Macaca mulatta: one gene and its partner. The protein of the gene in region 1 purifies or fractionates together with the protein of each later gene. This does not show direct contact. Links are inferred from orthologs where the notes say so. Each region holds a gene or a part of one and is shown in the gene's direction. Other genes may lie near its edges.

Evidence for each region. The genes of interacting proteins can lie anywhere in the genome.
Region 2: the proteins of DCAF7 (region 1) and PLK1 purify together in Homo sapiens (affinity purification with mass spectrometry; 3 studies listed by BioGRID and IntAct, with this or other methods). This does not show direct contact. The link is inferred for Macaca mulatta from reciprocal best matches to the Homo sapiens genes DCAF7 and PLK1.

The regions. Positions count from the first base shown.
Region 1 is NC_133421.1:73,348,671-73,352,857, forward strand, and holds the start of DCAF7 (DDB1- and CUL4-associated factor 7), read left to right. Parts: upstream 1-1,387; 5' UTR 1,388-1,620; coding exon 1,621-1,758; intron 1,759-4,187. UniProt on the Homo sapiens protein: Involved in craniofacial development. Acts upstream of the EDN1 pathway and is required for formation of the upper jaw equivalent, the palatoquadrate. The activity required for EDN1 pathway function differs between the first and second arches.
Region 2 is NC_133425.1:23,225,285-23,228,784, forward strand, and holds part of PLK1 (serine/threonine-protein kinase PLK1), read left to right. Parts: intron 1-636; coding exon 637-730; intron 731-2,468; coding exon 2,469-2,688; intron 2,689-3,500. UniProt on the Homo sapiens protein: Serine/threonine-protein kinase that performs several important functions throughout M phase of the cell cycle, including the regulation of centrosome maturation and spindle assembly, the removal of cohesins from chromosome arms, the inactivation of anaphase-promoting complex/cyclosome (APC/C) inhibitors, and the regulation of mitotic exit and cytokinesis.

The DNA.
Region 1 (4,187 bases):
TTGAGGTCAGGAGTTCGACACCAGCATGGTCAACATGGTGAAACCCTGTCTCTACTAAAAATACAAAAATTAGCTGGCCGTGGTGGTACACCCCTGTAATCCCAGCTACTCGGGAGGCTGAGGCAAGAGAATCACTTAAACCTGGGAGATGGAAAAATCATTTTCACTAAAAATTATATTTAGCGCCCAGAATGGTGGCTCAAGCCTGTAATCCCGGAACTTCTGGATGCTGATGTGGGAGGGTCGCTTGAGCCTAAGTTCGAGATCAGCCTGGGCAACATGGAGAGATCTCATCTCTACAAATAATTTAAAAATAGCTAGGTGTGGTGGCAAAAGTCTGTTGTTCCAGCTGCTCTGGAGGCTAAAGTGGAATCGTTTGAGCCTAGGCAGTCGAGGCTACAGTGAGCCCTTATCACACCAGTGCACTCCAGCCTGGGTGACAGGGCAAGACCCTGTCTTTAAAAAAAAAAAAAAAAAACTTTAATGTTATAATCCAACAATTCAATACAAACCTCCTTCAATTTTGATGAAAGCTAAGAATTGGAAACCATTTATATAAAGGTGTCACTTGGTCTCTGGCCCTTCTCCCTTTCAAACTCACAGGCACAGATACTTTTGGGGCTGGATTAGCATTTGCGTTGGGATGCACGGCGGGGAAGGTACAGGATGGGAACCGACAAAAACAGAGCCAAGCTGGTCAGGTCGGTGTCTACCCCAGAATTCGGGGACATTTCTAGATCCTGCAGGAAAGCGCGGGAGGACCTGACTCAAGCTGGCCTGGCCCTGAGCGCATCTGCGCCCCTGAAGCCTGGCCCTGAGGCCCGAAGACAGCAGCTTTCGGGTTAAAGGGGCCTTGGGAAGAGAAGGGGCAGGAAGGTGGTACCCGTTGCGCATAGGCCAGGCTGCCAGGCCGCGGGGCTCGGTCCCGCGAAAGTAGTAGGTCTTCCGCTAAAGCAGAATTGTACTTTTACTCGACAGCATGGAAAGGCCGCTCAGAACAGCAGCAGCAGAGGAGAAGTCAGCGCAGGTCACAGACAGTTTCACGCTCAGAGACTTGGCCTAGAACTTGGAGGCCCGCTACTCCAGCACGCTCGCCTCCCGGCCACCCACGCCCCCACCACCCGCACTGCGCCGTTATCTGCCTGACTGACATCTTGGTCAGCCAATGATCTTTGGGGCTGCCAAAGCTCCTGCCTCCGAGAGTTGGGCGGGGCGAGTAGTTGCAATGACAAACATTTAACCCAATAACGAGGAGATGTCACACGCTACGGCCGCAATAACCAATGAGAAGAAAGAATCCTTTCGAAAGGACGTGTCAGGCAACCAACGGCCGGTGGCGCTGCAGGGGTCCCGTGGCTTCCGTTCCGAGAGGGCGGGGCGGCGTCCCGAAACGGAAGGTGGTTGTCGTCGGTGCCCAAGCTGGTTTGAAACTAGGGGTCGGGTTCGGTCGTTGTCGTTGTTTGTCGCCGCATCCCCGCTTCCGGGGTAGGCCGTTCCTGCCCGCCCCCGCCCCTCCTCCCTTCGGACCCATAGATCTCAGGCCCGGCTCCCCGCCCGACTCGCACCCCGCCCGCCGCAGCCCACTGTTGACCCGGCCCGTACTGCGGCCCCGCCGCCACCATGTCCCTGCACGGCAAACGGAAGGAGATCTACAAGTATGAAGCGCCCTGGACGGTCTACGCGATGAACTGGAGTGTGCGGCCCGATAAGCGCTTTCGCTTGGCGCTGGGCAGCTTCGTGGAGGAGTACAACAACAAGGTGGGCCAGGCAGGGCCTCGGAACCCAGCTGGCGGGGAGCGGGCCCCGGGAGCGCCCTTTCCGGGCCGGAGCCCAGGCCCCAGAACCCTCCTGCGGACTCGCCTTAGGGCCATGGAGCGGTTCCAATGTCTGGCCCTGTGCTGAAGGTTTCGTACTCGTTGTCTGTCTCATTTAATCCCGGCAGCATTCTTGTGTAGTCGGCAGTGTAGTGGGGAAACTGAGTCACGGTTTTGTGACTTGCCTGGGTCAGGCAGCTATTTCGTGGTGGAAACAGGTCTTAAAACCGGGTTTACGCCCCAAAGATACTCCATTTATTCCTCCCGTGCTCTCCACTCCTGCCGCATTTTTTTCGTTGGTGGGCGGGGAAGGGAAGAGGGAGTGGTAGTTGTGAAGGAAAATGCAGACGCTTCTATTCGCGGTCGTGCACTCTTGGCCACACTAGATTTCTATTAAGACGATCTGTTGTACAAGCTTCCCCGCCCCCTACTCCCACACCCCGGGTGTGGATCCTAGCCCTTCTGCCAGAATTACTGTTGCTCTTGCTTCCTGATAACCATTCTCTCTAAAGCAATCTCTTTGGAAATCTTGGCCTGTGGCATGATCCCGCGGTTGTTTCCTGAACACAGGATGACAGGGCCTTATCTTTTGGCTTGTTTCATGCTAGTACAGTTGTGTGACCTTTAGTAGTAGATCTTGCTGGACATTCATCAATTTGAGAATCCTTTATAGAAGCACGGTGTCGTAGGGGAGCTTTTAAACTGGCATTGCAACATAAACTCATCTTTGAAAGCTGAATAAGTCAGTTGGAAGCATTTTCTTTGCTTTCTTCCTTTTACTCAATTAAAGTTGAATGATAGCGATCAGAGCAACTGAAAGCTGTGGCTAGTGATATTTAAAGCCACTACTGCCTTATGCCATGAGCATCAGATTTAAGAAGAGTAAAACTGGCTGGGCGCGGTGGTTCACGCCTGTAATCCCAGCACTTTGGGAGGCCGAGGCAGGCAGATTACCTGAGCTCAGGAGTTTGCGACCAGGCTGGGTAACAAGATGAAACGCTGTCTACTAAAATACAAAAAAAAAAAAAAAAAGAAGAAGAAGAAGAAAACTGTTCAGTGACAAGGCTCATGCAGGGGGGAAAAAGCCAGGTGGTCTAGGAGTGGGTCCTGTCTGGTTATTGACTAGCTGTGAGGTGTTGCACAGGCCTGTTTTATTATCTGTGACCCACAGTTTGCTGTAGGGAAGGGGTTCTGGTTTACATGTGAGGGTCTTGTAAAAAAGAAATTTGAATATTTTACAGTTTGTTTACAGTTTTTCAGGAGCACGTTTCTCTAGAGTAGGTCTTCTTTGGAGTCCTCTTTGAGAAGCTGATGAAAGCGATGGATTTTCATTGTCCAGACATTACACATACGTGAACATATTTACAAACAAATCCAAGCAATATGCACTGATCTTTAAGTTCACCCATTTCCCGGGCGAAATAGAGCTGTATTTCCTTTCCTCTGATGCTTCTTTCTTCCTTGTGGCCCATTGTGGACAGCTGAACTGGGAATGGGATTCAAGCTTCTGATGTGGACACCGTGTTAGTAAAATTAAGACCACTAGAACTATTGTTTAAGGATACACGTGGAAAATAAAAAAGTATGTCTTTCAAAGAGCTTAAGCTTAATTTTTCACACAAATTAATGTTTTTTTCCTGTGTGTTTTTCCAGTGTCACGGGGTAAACAATAGTTACTCCTATTCTCCAGAGAGGAGAAACTGAGCCACAGTTAGGCTGCTGGTAGAATCAATGGAGTAGTCAAACTGCTGTTGCAGGAACTCTACCCCAGTTTGTCCTTTCTTTTAGCAACTCTCTGGAGCTTCCTCTTTGTTCCAGGCACACAGGTAGCATGGCTTAGCAGCGAAATGCAAACTAATAACCCCACTATCAACAGCGTAAGCAGTTAGCTATATCTTAACTCACATGATGTAGGCAATGTGCTGTCTTAAAATCATTTTTGTGCCTCCACCTGTCAGTAGGTCAGGGTTCTTAAATTCTGTGTGCTATGATCATCTGATACCAATAGACCCCTTCTCATAGTTATGTTTTCAAATGCATAGAACACGTAGAATTACAAAAGAAACCACTTACGTTGCACTACAGATATAAACATGTTTTTAGAAGTGGTGATGTAGTCATATGTACTTTTAATAAATTAACATATTGATTTACACCATCCAGTGTAATTATTAATGTAATTTTGAAGTGGTGACAAGGGTAAACAGCATTTCAAGATGCTTAACTGCACCGTGGTGGGAAAAAATATTTCTCTTGCTGGTGAAGTCACAGATACTTATGCCACTGTGAGCACCTAACCCATTTGTAATTGAAGGAAATAAAACATATTTAGCTAGAGGTGAATGGAAATATGGGCGTGATTTTCCAATTCAA
Region 2 (3,500 bases), on another chromosome or scaffold:
CCCTTGGTAGTTCCCGTGCACAATAAGGTCTTAAACATTGATGAACATTAGCATGGTGGGGGAAATTAGGCCAGGAGTTACAGATGGAAGGATGACGTGCCAGTGGTCTGTCTGGATTGAGACCATCAGCAGCGGTTGGTGGCAGGCAGAGGCTTGGGCCTTTTCAGGTATTACCTTTCTTGTTTGGGGCCTAGGTACTGGAGAGTTAGAAATGAGTTGTAGCAGTGACTTTCATACATCTTCGCAGTGGGGTTTTTCCAAATGAAAACTTGAAGACTTAAGTACAGAATTGCTAAAGGTAGAGCTGCTTCTGTAAGTGCAGGTAGCCCTTTGACCTGTTTTGCATGACAGGCAGCCTCTGAGGCCCTTGCAGAGTCCTAGATGACCACAGGCCACAACTAAAAAATCACTGGCCCCTAAGAATCCTAGTCTCACCACGTGTATTCTGGTAAGGGCTCATTCTAGCCAATATTATGGCTCCTGGGGCTGCTCAGTGGACTTGGTTGTCTTCAGGGGCCCCAGAGTTACAGTGAGTGTCCAGAGGATGCCTGGTCTTTGTTCTGACCCTGAGATGATTTCTCTTATGTCTGGGTTGTGGCTGGGAGGCTGGTGCCAAATCCTACCTTGTGCTTACAGGTATACCTTGTTAGTGGGCAAACCACCTTTTGAGACTTCTTGCCTAAAAGAGACCTACCTCCGGATCAAGAAGAATGAATACAGTATTCCCAAGGTGACTAATGATGCTTTAACTTTACATTTATTTTGTTTTCCCCAAAAGCTGTTTATGGAACCCAGCAATATCCTAAGACCAGAAATAGGTCTATCCCACCTCTAGGATAGCCACAGAGCTTACGAGGGCCTGTGTCTGAAATTACATACAGAACTTGACATGTATGTGCACATAAGCATTTTTTCTAGGGGGAGAGAGTTGGCAGATTCTCAAGAGATTGGGTAGCCCAAAAGTTGCGTAAAAAGCAAAAAACAAAGGAGGTAGGAAGGAGTAGGAGGCTAAAGTGCTTAAGCTTTGGAAATGGATTATCTTAATTCAAATTGAGTCTGCCACTTAGCCAGATCACATTGGGCAAATGGCCTGCATCTTCTTTTTTTCTTTTTTTTCTTTTTTTTTTTTTTGAGGTGGAGTTTTACTCTTGTTCCCCAGTGCAGTGGCATGATCTCGACTCTCGACTCACTGCAACCTCCACCTCCCAGGTTCAAGCGATTCTCCTGCCTCAACCTCCCAAGTAACTGGGATTACAGGTACCCACCACCTTGCCTGGCTTTTTTTTTTTTTTTTTTTTTTTTTTTTGTATTTTTAGTAGAGATGGGGTTTCACCACGTTGGCCAGGATGGTCTCGAACTCCTGACCTCAGGTGATCCACCCGCCTCAGCCTCCCAGAGTGCTGGGATTACAGGCATGAGCCACCATGCCCAGCCTGGCCTGCATCTTCTGAACCATAGTTCTCGTCTATAAAGTGGAGTTCCTGCCTTGGAGCACCTCACAGAGTGCCTTACATGTAGTAAGTGCTCACAGAATTATGAATCACTGAATCCCAGGGCTTCCTAATGGCATAGTGGTGTGCAATTTCCTTTTTTTTTTTTTTTTTTTTTGAGACAGAGTCTCACTGTATCGCCCAAGCTGGAATGCAGTGATGCGATCTCGGCTCACTGCAAGTTCCCCCTCCTGGGTTCACACCATTCTCCCGCCTCAGCCTCCTGAGTAGCTGGGACTACAGGTGCCCGCCACCACACCCGGCTACTTTTTTTGTATTTTTAGTAGAAAGAGAGTTTCACTGTGTTAGCCAAGATGGTCTCAATCTCCTGACCCTGTGATCTGCCCGCCTCAGCCTCCCTAAGTGCTAGGATTACAGGCGTGAGCCACCACACCTGGCCATGGTGTGTATTTTCACAACCACCAACAGAAATGCATTTAAAGGAATAGCTGGTTCCTGCAGAAGCCTAGCACACAGCCAGTTTGAAGTGTAGTGTCCTTGTGTGAAGCCAAGAGGCCTGTCACCATAAGGACGGACATAGTAAATCCATCACAAAGTGTCAGTTCACTGTCAGAGACAGCATGGAATCAAGCCAACTAGACAAGGCCTTCACCCTCTCTGTGCCTCACTTTCCTCCTCTGCAAAAAAGGGATGATAATAGAGCCCCACCCCTTAGATGTATTAGTGAGGGCTAAGTGAGCTAAGTACAGGAGTGCTTAGAATGCTTTCCTGGCACATAGTAAGTGCCAGGAAAGTGAGTTGGTGCTAGGCCACAGTCCATTGACCCTTCTGTCAAAGGTGCTCAGTAAAGCCGACAGTGGAGAAGTTGGCATTGAACCAAGTTGTGAACCACTAACCTGGGGTGTATTTGAGACTGGGGACTGCGTGTGGTCTATTGGCCTGCAGCCCCTTTGAGGCCGTACTGTACTCCGGGTCCCCTTCACATTCTGCTTATGGCTGTCCCTCTCTCTGCCCTAGCACATCAACCCCGTGGCCGCCTCCCTCATCCAGAAGATGCTTCAGACAGATCCCACTGCCCGCCCAACCATTAATGAGCTGCTTAACGACGAGTTCTTTACTTCTGGCTATATCCCTGCCCGTCTCCCCATCACCTGCCTGACCATTCCACCGAGGTTTTCAATTGCTCCCAGCAGCCTGGACCCCAGCAACCGGAAGCCCCTCACAGTCCTCAATAAAGGTACAACAAGGGTCTGGGTAAGAGAGCAGACTCCCCAGAGAAAGCCCAGGTTGTAGGGGTGTGTGTGGCTTAGTCCCTGGCCCCAAGAGCTCAGGTTTGGTTTAGGACAGACCTCTGTCCTTAAATTCGTGATTCCCATGCCCATCTGCTCCTCGGCCTTGCCGGGAAAGACTGACCTTACCATGGCTGGATAAACCTGCTATGCTCAAGAAGAAGAAAATGGACTGAATACCAAGCCTAAAAAATTCTTTCCAATCACTTTAATTAATTAATTTAATTTTTTGGAGACAGGGTCTCTCCTCTATTTTCCAGGTTGGAGTGTAGAGGCACAATCACAGCTCACTGCAGCTTTCAACTCTAGGGTTCAATCAATCCTCCCATCTCAGCCTCCCAAGTAGTTGGGACTGTCAGGCATGAGCCACCATGCCTGGCTAATTTTTTTTTGTTTTTGTAGAGACAGTGTTTTGCCATGTTGCCTAGGCTGGTCTTGGAACTCCTGGGCTCAAGTGATCCTCCCACCTCCACCTCCCAAAGTGTTGGGATTACAGGCATGAGCTGCTACGCCTGGCCTTCTAACACTTTTTCATGATTCATTGAAAAACATAAAAATTTCCTTTTTTTTTTTTTTTTGAGACAGGTCTGGCTGTCTCCTAGGCTGGAGTGGAGTGGTGTGATCTTGGCTCACTGCAACTTCTGCCTCCCAGGCTCAAGTCATCCTCTCATCTCAGCTGAGACTACAGGCGTGTGCTGCCATGCCTGGCTAATTTTTTGTATTTTTTGTAGAGACAGATTCTCACTTTGTTGCCCAGGCT